Linked DNA regions of Diceros bicornis minor. The protein of the gene in region 1 purifies or fractionates together with the protein of each later gene. This does not show direct contact. Links are inferred from orthologs where the notes say so. Each region holds a gene or a part of one and is shown on either strand. Other genes may lie near its edges.

The links. Proteins that work in one complex are often made in the same cells at the same time.
Region 2: the proteins of TOM1 (region 1) and CLTC purify together in Homo sapiens (affinity purification with western blotting, with the first as the bait; 3 studies listed by BioGRID). This does not show direct contact. The link is inferred for Diceros bicornis minor from reciprocal best matches to the Homo sapiens genes TOM1 and CLTC.

Annotation. Positions count from the first base shown.
Region 1 is NC_080764.1:14,280,833-14,288,113, forward strand, and holds the start of TOM1 (target of Myb1 membrane trafficking protein), read right to left. Parts: upstream 3,130-7,281; 5' UTR 3,048-3,129; coding exon 2,996-3,047; intron 1-2,995.
Region 2 is NC_080757.1:28,257,354-28,265,744, forward strand, and holds the start of CLTC (clathrin heavy chain 1), read right to left. Parts: upstream 3,373-8,391; 5' UTR 3,089-3,372; coding exon 3,047-3,088; intron 1-3,046. UniProt on the Homo sapiens protein: Clathrin is the major protein of the polyhedral coat of coated pits and vesicles. Two different adapter protein complexes link the clathrin lattice either to the plasma membrane or to the trans-Golgi network.

The sequences.
Region 1 (7,281 bases):
GTGTGTGTGTCCAAGCGTGTGCGCACTTGTGAGTCAAGTGACACCCCTGATGAGCACCAGTAGAACCCACTGTGCTCAGGGATGCCAATTCTACAGGGCTCTCCTCTCAACAAGGGGATGGAGGTGGCAGGCTTGAGAAGAGATTATGTTACTCCTGCAGCTGACAGAAATACAAGCGGCTAACAGTGGGTCATCAGTAATCACAGCCAATCAGCAGTACTTCCGCCTCTTTATCCACAAGAAAAACACAGACTACTGAGGGCATTAACTCAGATCGCAGCTATTCTTCATTTAATTCTACTTTTAGAGCCTCTTCAGCTTTGGCTCAAGTTTCACTGGTTCTGGGGGAGTTCATCTCAGCTTCACTATCAATTCACTGGGGTCTGGGGTGAGTCAGTCTCCACCTTCCCCTCCCTGGGCCTCGGTTTCCTCTTGTGTAAAATGAAGGGAGTGGACCAGAACAGAGGTTTGCAATATGTGGTTTCCAATCCAGGGGCTTTTTTTTTTTTTTTTAAAGATTTTATTTATTTATTTTTCCCCCCAAAGCCCCAGTAGATAGTTGTACGTCGTAGCTGCACATCCTTCTAGTTGCTGTATGTGGGACGCGGCCTCAGCATGGCCGGAGAAGCGGTGCGCGCCCGGGATCCGAACCCGGGCTGCCAGCAGCGGAGCGCGCGCACTCAACCGCTAAGCCACAGGGCTGGCCCTCCAATCCAGTGGCTTTAGCATCACCTGGGAATTTGCTAGAAATGCAAATTCTAGGGCCCCACCCCAGACGTAGAGGGTCAGAAACTCTAGGGGTGGGGGCCAGCCACCTGCGCTTTAACAAGTCTTCCAGGGGACACTTGAGAGCCCCGGGTTCGAAGGTCCCCAGGGGAAGGACCCTTCCGGCAGTAAAAGGCGGTTTGGGCTCTGAGGTGCTATGATTTAGTAGTATTCTCTCTCGACAGAGTACCTCTTGCCCAAGACTCGAAACCCTTCAGGGTAGAAGAGAAGCTGTTTTCTCCGATCAGCTAAAGCCCAGAGTCCACGTGAACTTTTCTAGAAATCCTCAGGAATATGTGGCTGACTTTTTTTTTTTTTAAATTTTATTTATTTATTTTTTTCCCCCAAAGCCCCAGTAGATAGTTGTATGTCATAGCTGCACATCCTTCCAGTTGCTGCATGTGGGACGCGGCCTCGGCATGGCCAGAGAAGCGGTGCGTCGGTGCGCGCCCGGGATCCAAACCCGGGCCGCCAGCAGCTGAGCGTGCGCACCTAACCGCTAAGCCACGGGGCCAGCCCTGTGGCTGACTTTGAAGGCCAGATTTTTTTTTTTATTTTTAAGTAGGAAGTCTCAAACTTGGCATGTGATGAAAGCAGTGCTATCTGTAGCTGGAGAAATAAAGACGAGAGGAGAGCTGCTTTCTGTTTTCAGCTCCAAAACAATGACTCATTGGTGTGTGTATAGTGTCTTGTGGGGGAGGTCCCGGAGGTGTGTGTGTGTGTAGCGTCTTGTGGGGGAGGTCCCGGAACGGTGGTCCTGAGAGGGCAGCTTCCGCTCTCTGGTCCAGGAGCTTCCTGGTGTGTAAATCCTTGACTGCCACCCCCTTCTTGGAGAGAGGTGATTACAAAACCTCAGAAGAGCCACAAACAGTCATGTTGGACATTACACCACAGAGCTGGGTCCGCAGACTTGAGCAAGGTTTGGCTTCCAAGACGGTAAGAATGGAAAAAATATTTTGTCTAAAAGATACAATTTTCCCAGTCTGGACTTAAGGCTAAAAACCATCAAAAAGATGAAGAGAGAATTTCACAGTACTGCCAGTGGTTTCCTCATGGGAGAAGGAGGCACACCCAGACCGTCCCTGGAGAAGTGTTAGCTGTTTGGGCCAGGGCCTGTGCGTCCTCCCCGTGTTGGTGGGCAGGAATGAGCACCCATGAGACCTACCGCCCAGCCATTTCCAGGGATTTCCGACCCTCGCTTGGTGGTATATCAGGAACAACGATAATAAATACTATGACTTTCTTTTATATAGCACTGGCCATGTGCCAGTCACTGTTCTAAGTACTTTACATTTATTAACGAGTTTAATCTTCACAACAACCCCACGGAGGTAGGGACCATTATTATCCCCTAACTACGGATGAGGAAGCCTGAGCTCTACAGTGAGGCAACATCACAAGACTTGTAGGTCTCCCGTCAACAGGCGGCAAGAGAGTCAGGAGACCTGGGCTCCCAGTAAGCCTGTGTCTCCAGCCAGAGCCCTTGGCTGATCATCTACCGGGAAATGAGGGAGGCCGAAGCAGGTGGCTTCTAAGATCACCTCCAGCCCAGAGAGTCTGCGACGCTAGGCGGTGGGTCTCATGCCAGCAGGTGAGGACTGCCAGGGCAAGCACGTCCTGAGACCCTGGTCGCTAAGGCATGGCCGCCTGGTCGAGCGGGCTCCCCAGCGTCTAGCCCGGGCCCGGGGCAGGCAGGGCTGACCGGCCCCTCCCCGCAGGTCGTCGCCCAGACGCCAAGCCCTGGACTCCTGGTCCTGGGAGAATGGACGTTCAGCCCTTCTCAGGTATCCGTGTGCGGAGAGCCTGGCGAGCAGGAAGGAGACGGCAAGACCCCAGGCGGCGCGACCCGCACTGGAGGCGCGACGCGGGGAACAGTCGAGGGGCGCAAGAATTGCAAAACCGCGCAGACCCTTCAACCCCCCAAACTTTCTCCGTGGAGTCGGGACCACAGTAGCCGCACATTGGCTGAGCCGCGGCCTCCCGAACCCGCCCTCTCTCTTTAGCTATTGGCTGACGTAAGCATCCATCACAAGTCGAGGCTTCCTAATGGACCACGGAGTTTGTCAATCAAGGTGGGAGACTGGGCGGGGCCGGTTCAGGAGAGACACGCCGGCCTCGTTCCCCTCCCCGCCTCCCTCCGGTGTGTGACCGGGGACCCGGAGGCGCCCCGGGGGGTCGGGGCCGGAAGCAGAGCCCTGCGGCGGGGCTGGGCGGGGCTCCGGAGACTCACCGATGCGCTGTCCCACCGGAGAGCTGAACGGGTTCCCCAGGAGAAACTCCATCGCCTCTGCTGCGCTGCGGCTGCCACCAACCCGGGGAATCAGCTGACAGCAACCGCCGGCGCTGCCGACCCGTCACGTGACGTGCCGGACGGTCCGCGAGGAGGCGCCCGTGGGGGCGGGGCAGAGGGAGTGTGGAGCGCGGCCTCAGGCCCCGCCCCTGACGTGAAGGGTTGGGCGTCCCGAGGGGGGAGGGCGATGACGTCACTGCGGCTTACTCGGCGTCGGCGGACGTCACGCACGACGTGGGGCGGTGGCGGACTTGGGGGCGTGGACCTCTCTAAGCCACGCCCTCGACGTTTATTTAAGGTTTAGGGGCGTGACCTAAGCATCTTAACGCATCTGGAAAACTGGGTGTGGGAGCAGGGAAGTGACTTGGGCAAGGTTACGCTTAGACTACAGCTCTCACTCGGCCCTTAGCCCTTCCGACCACACTGTGACTACATACCCGCCGCGGGGGTTGACAGCCTCTCTGGCCTGTTGTCGCCCTGTCCTGATGGGACTTTCCCTATCTGATGTCGAGGTCTCCCTGACGCAACATGTGCCCTGCTTGCTGCCCAGATTCGCTTACCTCAAATCGGAGGCCAGGGCCAGGGGTTTGCGATCTCTTGCCACTGAGAGCCAACTCCATGAATTACAGCTAGGGATGGGCTACCGCCCAGGGTGGCAGAAAGCACGAGTGGGGCCTGGGACCCATCTCTGCTGTTAATTTACTGTGTGATTCAAACAGCGAGTTTCCATTTTCTCTGGATGCTGGAATTAGATCAGGGACTCGTAACCTTCCTCTTTTTAGGTAACAGTCTCCTTTGAGAATTTGAAGAAAGCCATGAGCCCTTCTGAAGAAAAAAGGCAGAGATATAATTTAACTTCAGGGAGGTTCTGGGTCCCTAAAGTACAGCAGTGGACTCCAAAAAGCTCAAAGGCCTTTCCCAGCTTTGTAATTCGAATATCTTCTTCGGCCTTTCTGACTGTGTACCATGTTTTGGATATGTCACCTACACGTTAGATATCTGATCTATTGGTTATGTTTTTTCCTTCCAATGACATGCATTCCAAAAGATACAATAACCACTGCTTTGGTAGTTTGGGCTACTGCAGGGTGCTTTACTATTTATTGATCATGATTCTTGTGATTTTTAAATTTGCAAGGCTGGTAAATTGACTCTGCACAAAATTAGGATGGAAAATCTACATTAGAACTTCAATCACTTTTGTATGTTAACCTGTTCGAGCAGCCATAGGGGCTGACATCCTTACTGTACAATAGAAAAACTTTATGGAAGTCATGTACTCCTGAGCTCTGAAGTGTTTGTTTTTTTTTTGGTGAGGAAAGTTAGGCCTGAGCTAACATCTGTTGCTGATCCTCCTCTTTTTGCTGAGGAAGATTGGTCCTGAGCTAACATCCATGTCCATCTTCCTCTATTTTACATGTGGGATGCCTGCCACAGCATGGCTTGATAAGTGGTGCGTAGGTCTATGCCTAGGATCCTAACCCACTGCTGAAGCGGAGCTCGCGAACTTAACCACTACGCCACCAGGCTGGCCCCCTCCGAAGTGTTTTAATAATGCTCATGAGACCTTTTAATAAACGCCTTCCCTCTCTGGATGCTCTGTGAGGGCTGGGATACTGTGTTTTGCTCACCACTGTTGTCTAGCGCAGTGACTAACATGAAAATTTAAATAATTTACCTTTCAGTAATGGTATTTGGACTATAAAGGGGGATGTATATTTAAGATGAACTTCATGTCAGGTACCTTCCATGTTTTTCTTCATTTAAGCATATGGCTTGGTTGTATGGAGTATATTTAGCACGAATTTCTTTTGGATTCTTCCATTAACAATCTTGAACATTCCCATGTTGGGTGGTGATTTACCAGAAGTTCTTGCCTTCTTGGATCACTCTGGTTTAAAGTGATTATGGGCAGAAGATCTTGGCTTTACTGCCAAGAATAAAACAGACATAAATTTTATCCTTCATGGTAAAAAAGCAGGAACAACCTACATATCCCCAAACACAGAGTGCAGTCATATTAACTCCGTGCAAACAGAATATTATATAGCTATTAAATTAGCAAAGGAAGTGTGTGGATTTTGTCAACATGACAGGAATGTAAATGGCAAATATTAAGTGTAGTACAAAACTGATTAAAACTATGTTTTAAAAGTGTTTGCAAACAAGGAACAAACTCATTTAGTAAAAAGTCTGTCTTAATTTTTCCTTTTAAGTGTTTTAGCAATATTAATATCAAATGCCTTCCTGAGGGTAAAAATGTTTAAGTTCCTTAAGATTGACATATTGCATAAATGTAATGTAATCTATTACATCCTTTAAGTACTTTTGGACAAAAATCAAGATACTTTGCCTCCAAAGTTTAAAGACAATAGTATGACAAGAAAAGTGAGGCCTGTATAGTGAAAGCCAGCTAGGACAAAACAACAGTGGAACAATGAAAAGGTCTCAGATAGTTTCCCTACAATCACATTTGCTCAGGACTATAGATAACAGAGAAGGATTCTGATGAATTACACACACAATTTAAGTGTGAAAGTGGCTTGGGGTAGGAGAGGGCCTAGGCTTTGGGGTCAGCTGTACCAGTGTGCTTATCTGGCTTTGCCATTTACTAGCTGTCTAAACTTAGGAAAAGTGCTTCTCTACATCTGTCTCCTTATTTGTAAAGGGGGATAATACTCATAAGGCTTTTCGGAGGATTAAGTGAGATAAAATATGCACATCACTCTATAATAGTCATTCAGTAATATGGTGGTCTCTTCCTTGCTGCCTCTCCATAAGAAGTTATCCTTTTAATCAATCATAATGTCTCACTATTTATAACTATTAACATATTGTGTTTGCATTGAAATTTTTACCTCGAAAGGTCAAATCTCTATATATTAAATGTTCACAATACTATTAAATATTCATGTCAGACTGGCTGGCTGCAGGCTTGGATCAGGAAAGTGACATTAACACTGTTTTACAGATGGGACTTTGGATGCCTATAAAGATTAAGTGACTTAACCAACATCACTCACTAAGTCAGGACAGTACTGAAACAGTATGAAATATATTCAAGCACGTGATTCAGATGCAACCCTTATATAAGACTGATAGACATTTTCTTGAGTTAGGCCAACACTGCAATGTACATACAATTTCATTTGCCAGCGAATAGAGCTGCACTTATCAGAGCTACCGGGTTTACAATTTGTAAAAGAGAGAACACGAGAGACTCCACAATGTAACAGTTAATAGAAACAGAGCAAGATGTGTGCTAGGAAAATGGCTAAGATCAGAAACTTGACCTCTATTCCAGATGGATTTTTCTTTTTAAGAAAATTATTGTAGGATATCGTGTGAAAAACAGGTTTTATAATTTTGTAGCTTTTTTGGTTAGCAGCAGGGAAAAGATAGCTGAGACTGGACTACAAATAATAAAAATGTGATTTTTAATAATATAAGTACAAAATTTTATTTCTTTATACAACTGTAATGGGATTTGGATCAAACTGCTAGAATTTATTTAAAAAACAAAATAAAACAATGATATAAAAACTGCAAGAAGGTCTGAATCCAAAGTTTTTCCTCTAATAGTACCAAATACCACAAGATACAGATTATTATACAAATGTGTACAAATTTTAAATACAAATACAACAGGGTTGGATTTTAAAGGAAAACAAACAAAAAGCAGGTCCTCATCAGGATTCCATTAATGTGTGCAAATGACAATGGTAGGACTGACTTCTTTCTGTACTAATCCATGCCTTCAAGGCCCCCCTTGATCCCCGTGTCAAACAGGAAACTTCCATGGGTACAGAGAGGGGTGGTACAGGTTCTCACACACGAAATCAAACCAAGATTTCTGCTCTTCTTGATTTTGGTTCCCAAACGTTCCTGTTTCTTTCTGTTTCTCCAATTAAATCTCAGAACTGCTCTGAGCTGAGAAAGGCATTCAGCAGCCAGAATACCTTTAAGAAACACAGCCCGGTGACCACACTGGTGGGGAAAGGGAAGGAATTAAATAGGATGCAGGTTGGCCGCACTGTCCTCAAAGATCTACTCTGATGCTGCAGTGGCTGGTCTAGACCCGGGGAAGAAAGCACGGTTACCTCCGAGCTTGGTTTTGGCAGGGAATCTCACACCTAATTTAAAAACAACCCTGAAGTCTTCTTTGAAACTGGGAAGCAAAAGTCTGGTTCTTTGGAAATAAGGGCAGCTGGGAATGGTAAGTTTCC
Region 2 (8,391 bases), on another chromosome or scaffold:
AGTACAGTTAAGCATATAGCATATGCCAGTAATACTTAGCATTGCTCTCTCTTTGCAAACCAAAATAACCATAGCAAGAACCCCTATCATTCAACTCGCAACATATTCCATGCCTGCATTTATGGATCAAAGGGAAAAGAACAGGGTGGGAGATTTTTAATCACAGACCCAAAAAACCTGGGAATATAGTGGAATGTGTCAATTGGCATAAGGATTCTTAATGTGCCAAGAATTAAGAATTGTGGGCAACATTTTATATGTAACCTAGGTTTTTTTTTTCAGAATCTGAAACTCTAGTAATGTCTTGCTCAAATAGGCACTCATCTGTTGACTGCTCTCAGCCTAAACATGCTTTAAAAAATAAATCTTTCATAACTTAAAATACTAACATTCATGTGATGTAGTTCTGAGCTTTGATGACAGAACCTTCAGTTGGCCAAAGTAGTTATATGGTATAAAAATAAATTCATTTACAGTTCACATTTTGAAGCTTTCACAAGCTAACCTGACACTCAAGTTCCTAAATTCTTGTTCCCAATTTTTATCCTAAGTGTTTCAGCAAGTTTTATGCTGCTTAGCAAACTGGCAGAGGCTCCGAGGTCAAAGACCTAAGGGGCCAATTAAAATAATCTTTACTAATTTTTAAAAAGGAAAAGGATAGGGGCCAGCCCGGGGTTCGCAGGTTCGGATCATGGGTGTCAACCTACACCACTCATCAAGCCATGCTGTGGTGGCATCCCACATACGAAAATGGAGGAAAATGGTCACAGACGTTAGCTCAGGGCCACTCTTGCTCAAGCAAAAAGAGGAAGATTGGCAAAAGGTGTTAGCTCAGGGCCAATCTTCCTCACCAAAAAAAAAAAGGGGAAAGGATAAAAATGAGAAGTCAAGAGATATATTACCCTGGAAGAGGTTGGTGATTGGGGCTCTTTGTGCAATTAATCATTATCGGCTGGAGTATACAGTCACAACAGGAAGCTTAAATTTAGGCACTGCATAATACTCCAAAAAATAGTCTACTAAATTCTTCAAGTATACTTGCAAAGCTGCTTTATACTCACATCTTCAAATTATTTGAGAAGGAAATGGCTTTACTCAAGTATTTGCAGAAACTTCGAACCACTTAGAAATCAGACCTGTATTAAATCTGCCTTCAATTAGTGACAAGATTGGATTCCAATCTTTGGGATTATTTCACAATTCTTGTCTTCTCTTTAATAGGAATGCAAAGCTATTGCTCAAAACACCTCTAGTCAAGAAATAAGATCTACTAGTGTGCTATACTCCTGCCATGTAGACAGCAAATGTACCTACTTCTCTTGTGTATGATTTTACAAACATTTGTCTGTAGAAAGATATTTCAGATGCACTTTGGTGTGAGGACAAGCCTCACACCCAAGAACATTTTCCTAACCCTCCACACTGATCTACACCCTACTTTAACAGAAGTAACCACAGCAATTAAAACTTGATTGAGCATAAACAATAACTTCTGTGTCCATTCTGTCACTTAACATTTTTTAACCTTTTGTAAGTGTTCCATTACTTCAGATGAGTTATCTAACAACTATAGATAACTGAAGAAAATGCATTCCTCAACTCATTTTTTGAGTAAATATTTATTATTCAGTACATTTCAAAACTTAAAGAAAAGAATTTCTTGCTGATGCAAGCCAAGATGGTAATACCTGTAAAGAAATATGAAATGTTACTGATAGCCTGAATATTAAACCTTTTTATTAAAATAAATCCCTTATGTATGTTATACCAATGGGAGAAAGTAAAATAGCTTTCAATGGTCAAGTGTCCGATAGGTCACTAACATTAGTTGGCATCATGTCAAACCACAGCATCTTCTATCATTATGAAATTAGCCCTTCAGAAGATTGAGCTGAGGCAGGCCTCTTTAAAGGGTATTTGAAAAAAAAGCAAATTAATAAGAATAAATTATTTCAGCCAAAATAAAACCAGGATTGGTGAACCAGGAAATCAAAAGCCCAGAAGAGACTTAATTCAGTCAAGCTCCCCAACGATCACCTGCCTGGGCCCGCCATGGGCCTGCTGCCAGATAAGACAGTATGCTGCCTACAGGATCATGCACCACCATGGGGAAGAACTCTAGAACCTACTAAAAGGAAGCCAATTACAGACCAAATAACCTCGCATACCTCAGAGCAGGTGTGCTCTATCCTGAGAGCTCTGTTCAATTCCAAGCAATCCTGAAGCAGGTACTCAAGCCAAGCCCACCTGCCAGACTACACCAGACCTCAAGATAACCTCCGGATAACCCAGTTCTACCTTCTAGAACCAAAGAGGGGATAAGACCGCAGAATACCCAGAGAAATCAAGAAAAGAAAAAAGGCGAGTTCCCCTAGGGACCTTGAACCCATGCACTCTGAGATTGTCACCGCCCTGAGAAATACGTTCCCCCATTCTATCCTCCTTCTGTTCCTTTACTGACCTTCTGTTCCTACCGCCTCAGGGAAGGCAAGAGACAAGCCACTGCCGTTCCCCCCAGCCCCCAGGGAAGGTGCCTTTCTCAGTTGAGAGCCGCAGAGGGAAGAAGAAAAAATGTTGCTCCTCCCCAACCAGCCCGCCCCACAACTCCTGAGTACAGACACTATGTGGGGGAAAGGGAAAAGAAGAGCAATGGGAAGTGACAGCCTAGGGGATGAGAATCCTGGCTCGGGAAGAAACGCGGGAGATCTACCCCCCTCCCCCAACCTATCCAAATGAATGAACTGAATAAAACAGGGAGGGGGAGGTTAGTACGCGCAGTTCTTGCCATCCAGGAAGCGAAGACAGACAGGCCCTCGCACCCAGGCCTGGCTTCGCTGCCCTTTGCACCCGACTCTCGTCCTTTCCATCCAAGCCCCACATCATTTAACCCTTTGAGCTTTCCAAGATAGCGCCCCCATCCTCCATCTACCCCAGGCACCGACCTCCCACCCACTCCGATCCTGTTCTTTTTGCTTGGGCCCAGACTCCAGCTTGTTCCTTCCTACCACCCTCTCCACAGCCCTCCGCGGCCCGGGCCCAGCCGCACCTGGAGATGCTCCTGAAAACGAATTGGCAGAATCTGGGCCATGGCGCTGTCGGGGGGTATGGTCTCCTCCTGTCACTGGGGCTGCGGGGCAGTGGCTGCCCAGGCTCTCCAAGGGAGAGGAGGAGGGGGGGCTGGGCTCAGCAGGATACTCTCCGGGGACGCAGGAAACTGGCAGGCAGACGAAAGAGCTCGGGTCGGGGGCGGAGGCTCCAGGAGCCAGGAGAGCCGCAATGGCGGAACCCGGCGTAGCGCAGACTCCGGAAACGGCTGAGCCCTGCGGAGGGATCCCGGCGACGGAACTCCGCCCAAGCCACCTCACCCCCTCCGCTTTATGTACCCTTCCACGGAGCGCCCCCGTGCTGCGAAGCGCAGGAATTTGGGGCGCAGTGCGCCGCGGGCCTCGCTCACTTCTGCGACACGGGGGTAAATAGAAGAATCTAAGGGACTACTTTTTTGGACTCATTACTTTCCCCAGCCTCCTGCTTTTCCCTTCCCCCCCCTTTTTTTGCATTTTGCCACATCATGCGACTAGGGGCCACCAACGTCATTTCCGTGGGCGCTTTAGGTCCCACCCACCTACTTCCGGCTGCACGTGACGCTGGTCGGCAAGGGTTGGCTGTTTGCTACCAGAAGGCCGAGCGAGTTCTAGGGGAGTGAGGTGTCTCCTGGGAATGTGGTGGCTGTTGGGCCGCCTTGAGGAATAGCGGTGTTGCTCCCTTCCTCTGTGGGCCCTGCCTATTTAAACTGAGTCCCTTACGAAGAGGACGTGGCGTGGGCAGATGGGCCCAGCCTCCCGCCCTCTCCGTGACTCAGGGAAACGGCCTCCCTGCAGAGCGCTGTCTTGGCAGCCGGCTGCAGCACTTTTACCCCACCTAGTTTCATACAGTGGGTGGTTTCTTACATCCCAGGGAGGGGGGAATGAAATGCGATTTAAAATCCTCGCTGCACTTATGCACGCCCTTCTGACGGTTGGAGAAGCTGACACTTGGATTCTAACTAGAACTAGCGGTCTCTTCGGATGTTAAATAATTGGCTCAAAGGACAGTGAGGGCCATTTATGAGGTATCTCAAGCTGGCCTAGTGATGGTTTTTCTTAACGTTTTTGCGGACATTTTGGCAGACGTGTATATCGGTCTAGCTTAGTAATAAATGCGGTGTTAAAGAATTTGAGTATCATACATACGCTAAAGAATTAGACCAAAATTGTAGCAGGAAGATTTTTTAGCTACATCAAATAATTAAGAGTCTCAAAGATTTAGATAATTACGTTAAGGGCGGTTTGTAAAACCTTAAGGTTCTTCCTCGTGTGGCTAATGTCCACTCTTGGAGAAAGGGATTAACTATTAGCGGTGTATTTCGGTGGGACCACTTCGACATTGCCTGTAAATTAGCAGTGTTTGGGAATGTAAGCGCTTCAAAGCTGCAGCATCGTGTCTTCTAACATAATTAAGGTATCTTCAGTATTCATTATCAATTAATAACTGTAGTACTTTATTGCTAAAGTATAAGATGTAATATTTCATAATAGCACAAATACAATAAAGGATAAAAGAATTTAGTTCTGTGCCTCTCATCTTTATGAGATGTGATTATTTTTCCAAAAAGATCTTGAGAAAAAACAAGTACACAATTATTTTTAGTTCCCTTTTCAGTTAAACATAAAACCCTATTATGTATACAGTAATTTTGTGCCATGTAGTTTTGCTTAGTTTGCTTAATCATTTAAATTGCATTTAATGTTTTTCCCAAAATACATCTCACATACTGAGGATGAGAGAAGAATCTTTGGCAGGTAAGAGAGCAGAGTGTTCTGCAAAGAAAAGCCTTGCCACCATGTCATAAGAGTGAATATTTATGCTTGGCAAAATTTCATTGTTTTGTTAAGCCAGACACTTGAAGATGTTCTGTATTCTGCAACATTTGAAATGATCTTTCTAATACCAGTTTAATAGCTGCTTTCAACCCTTTTTGGAAGTAGACAAATTCTAAATTAAAAATCTAAAGAAGTTATTGTTTTATTAAAGTAAAAGCAGTAACTTAATCAAGTTACATTTCCAATCTCAGAATCTGGGATACAAGAGCTATATCATGAATGTGCCACCAAAATTTTCTTTATTAATAACTGTCTTGAATTTTCATACAGACCTGTAATTTTAAGTACATTTAGAATCCATAAAGCAATTGATTTTAGCTTGGATATTTGGTATGGAATGTCTAACCAAAAGTGCACTGAGGTTCTGTTCAAGTGACTGCTGTGTCATCACACGGAAATCTAATGCATTGTTTTCAGAAATCATTTGAGAATAGATTACAATATACCAGCTCATTTTGAATACTGTATCCTTCAAATTAATAAATCCAAAGTTTTTCAAGAGAAAAAAATGGTCCAGATGATAAACACTAAAAAAAAACCAAACCTATGCCTTTTAACAATAATTTTGCCTGAGGTAATAAGAGCTTTTTATAGTAGTTTGCTGTTCTTGCAAATGGTGTGGAGGCAGGAGAAAAGGTTGTCAATCCTTGGTTTAGAAGCCCCAAAGGCTGAGTCACTGTTAACAGTTACCTGAGCAGTAATTGAATGGCTTTGTTATCAGGCACTACCTTAAGTTAGAGAAGATAGATAACCTAATAAACCAGAAAACAAATGCTGGGTTTTTTCTAACTATGACAAAGTCTTTTAATAAGGCTACTGCTATAAATGTATCATCATCCCGGCTTTTGGGTTCAGAAAATGTTTTAGTAAGGCAGCCATATTAATAAAAAATTGGTCTCGTTCTTTTAATTGGAAGTTATTTCTATCAGAATGTTCAATAGAAGGTCCTTGCTGTGAGTCACAGGAAGTGCCATTAGCAAAAACTGCATTGCTTGTCTATTTTGAGGAGTGCCAGTTTCCCAAAACCTACATAAGAAACCTTTATTATGCCCCTAATTTTATATTTTATGACAGGAACTATGATATTTATATATATATATATACATATTAGCTCCAATGAGAATGACACCTGAGAAAAACTTTTCATTGCATGATTCCTCTGTAGTTGTTAATCTTCAAGCAGCCCCTGAATTAAGGCCCCTGCCTTTTAACTTGACCTTTTAAAAAGAGCGTGAGCTAGCTGCATTGCAAAAGCCACAAAGTAAAGGCATTTCTCAAACACTGAGATTAATTTTAAAGGAGAACTTTAAACCTAATCCACAGTACCAAATATTTAAAATTCAGATTTTAATGAAACCAAGAGGGATATACTTTAGCATTACCCAAGTAAGATAAGTGGTTTTGCCATTTATACAGCAGCTCTGAAACATTTCAGCCCCCTCGGGCCGCTCATATGAATACTAGCAGGATTAGATAAAGAGCAGAATATCAAATACCAGTAAATGGCTCAGGTATCAGTCAACACACAGTGCCCACTTTATTTTGTACAAGGCACTGATTATAGGCAAAGCTCAACCAAAAAAAAAACACAAAGCATGAAAAAATTTTCATGGCCTTTTATTTTAGTATGAAATGGACCTGCACCTAATATCATTCACTGCTCAGGTTGTCCTAAACCTAATTTCATAGACAGGTTTTATAATGTGTCATGGATAGCAGTAAGATCTATAGTGACTCTTTATTCTGGGTCAGGATTGAGCATGTTCCAATGAATAGCCAAGACTGGCCCTGTGGGAATAAAATCTGCAATCTAGTAATATTATATTGGCCCCTCCCATATTTTCTAAAGGTTAAATCAGATCCAAGCAGAGGAATGAAGTGGCTCATAACATTACCTTAAAAAGTCATCTGAGGAAAGTTGGTTCAAATATAGTGATTCACAGAGCATTATGGACAGAAAAACCCTGCCGATCAATAGGGAATCAGATGCCACATCACAACATCCCTTTCAAAAGTCACAAAAAGCTTGAGAGGCTCTATAAAATGAAGGGGGGCAATGAGGGTCAAGGTGTGGGAATGATTGTTATGGGCTATTTTTTTCCTTCTTTCTAAATATGTAGAGCTGTCTCTCTTCATCTAGAGTTATTACTGTCTCCAATTCAAAGCAAAGTATGACCCACAAACATGTTATGTTCTCTCAGCAATTTAAAATTTTTTTTAATTTTATTTTTTCCCCCAAAGCCCCAGTAGATAGTTGTATGTCATAGATGCACATCCTTCTAGTTGCTGTACGTGGGATGCAGCCTCAGCACGGCCGGAGAAGCAGTGGGTTGGTGTGCGCCCAGGATCTGAACCCGGGCCGCCAGCAGCGGAGCGTGCGCACTTAACTGCTAAGCCACGGGGCCGGCCCACAGCAACTTTAAAAATCTGTCACACTCCAGGGATAGTTCTATCAGTAGCAATGCACATATGCAGCCTTGTTATGGTAGTAAACTCTTCCTCAGAACAGAATGGGTAAGGACTGAGATTTGGTAAACAAAGTTTTGGTTAACTCAGTAATAAAGTTTCAAGGAAGTATAAGCTAATTTACTCAGTCAACACTTTTCAGTATGAAAAATACTTATACTCAGTGTTAAAATCTTTTGAAAAAGCTTTTAAAAAAATTATATGGGGAAAGTAATTCTCAATCTTAAAAGCCTCAGATTCATTACTGTGAAGTTTTTTGTATAGTCCTGCAAATTACCTGAATATGTACCAAATTTAGGACACACTAGAAATTACTTTTTTTTTAAATGCCTTACCTTAACGTGTCATGATTGATAAAAGAGTATTACGTAAAACTAACCAAAAACCTGGTTATTTCCTTTTCCTGGTTGTTCATATTACAAATAACTGTGAGTTTAATGTTGAACAGTATACAACTACTATTCATTCTGTAATATTCCAGTAATGAAAAATATGTAGCATTCATATGAGCCTACCTCATATTTATTGATTTAATTTATTTCTGAGCCAGCCCTGATAGCACCAACAGGCAAAAAAAGATCTCTTTAGGTTAGGTCTACCAATCACTCAAACATAAAGCTTTCCACGGGCTGAAAATAAAAACTACCTAATAAAGACAGCCCTTTACTGTCTCTATATTTTCAGACTATCTAGCTAAGCCATCAGATCAGATGTGGAGATGAGATTATACTCATTACTGAGGAGGGCTTAAAAATTTCATTTCTTGAACAGGGAACTAAATGGAGCAGCAGACTGGCACACAATGGCAGTCTATAAGTGCCCCAAACTATAAAAGGAATACCCCAGTCCAAGCCAACTTGCAAATTTTTCTTTCTGCAAGAATGAATGGCACTCAAATTATTCTTCATTTGACCTACTTAATGTTAACCCAAGTTACAGACTGGAAGATGCAAGACCCTTCAAAAAAGCCCTTCTCGAGGTGACACTGATGATAATCTTTCCAATT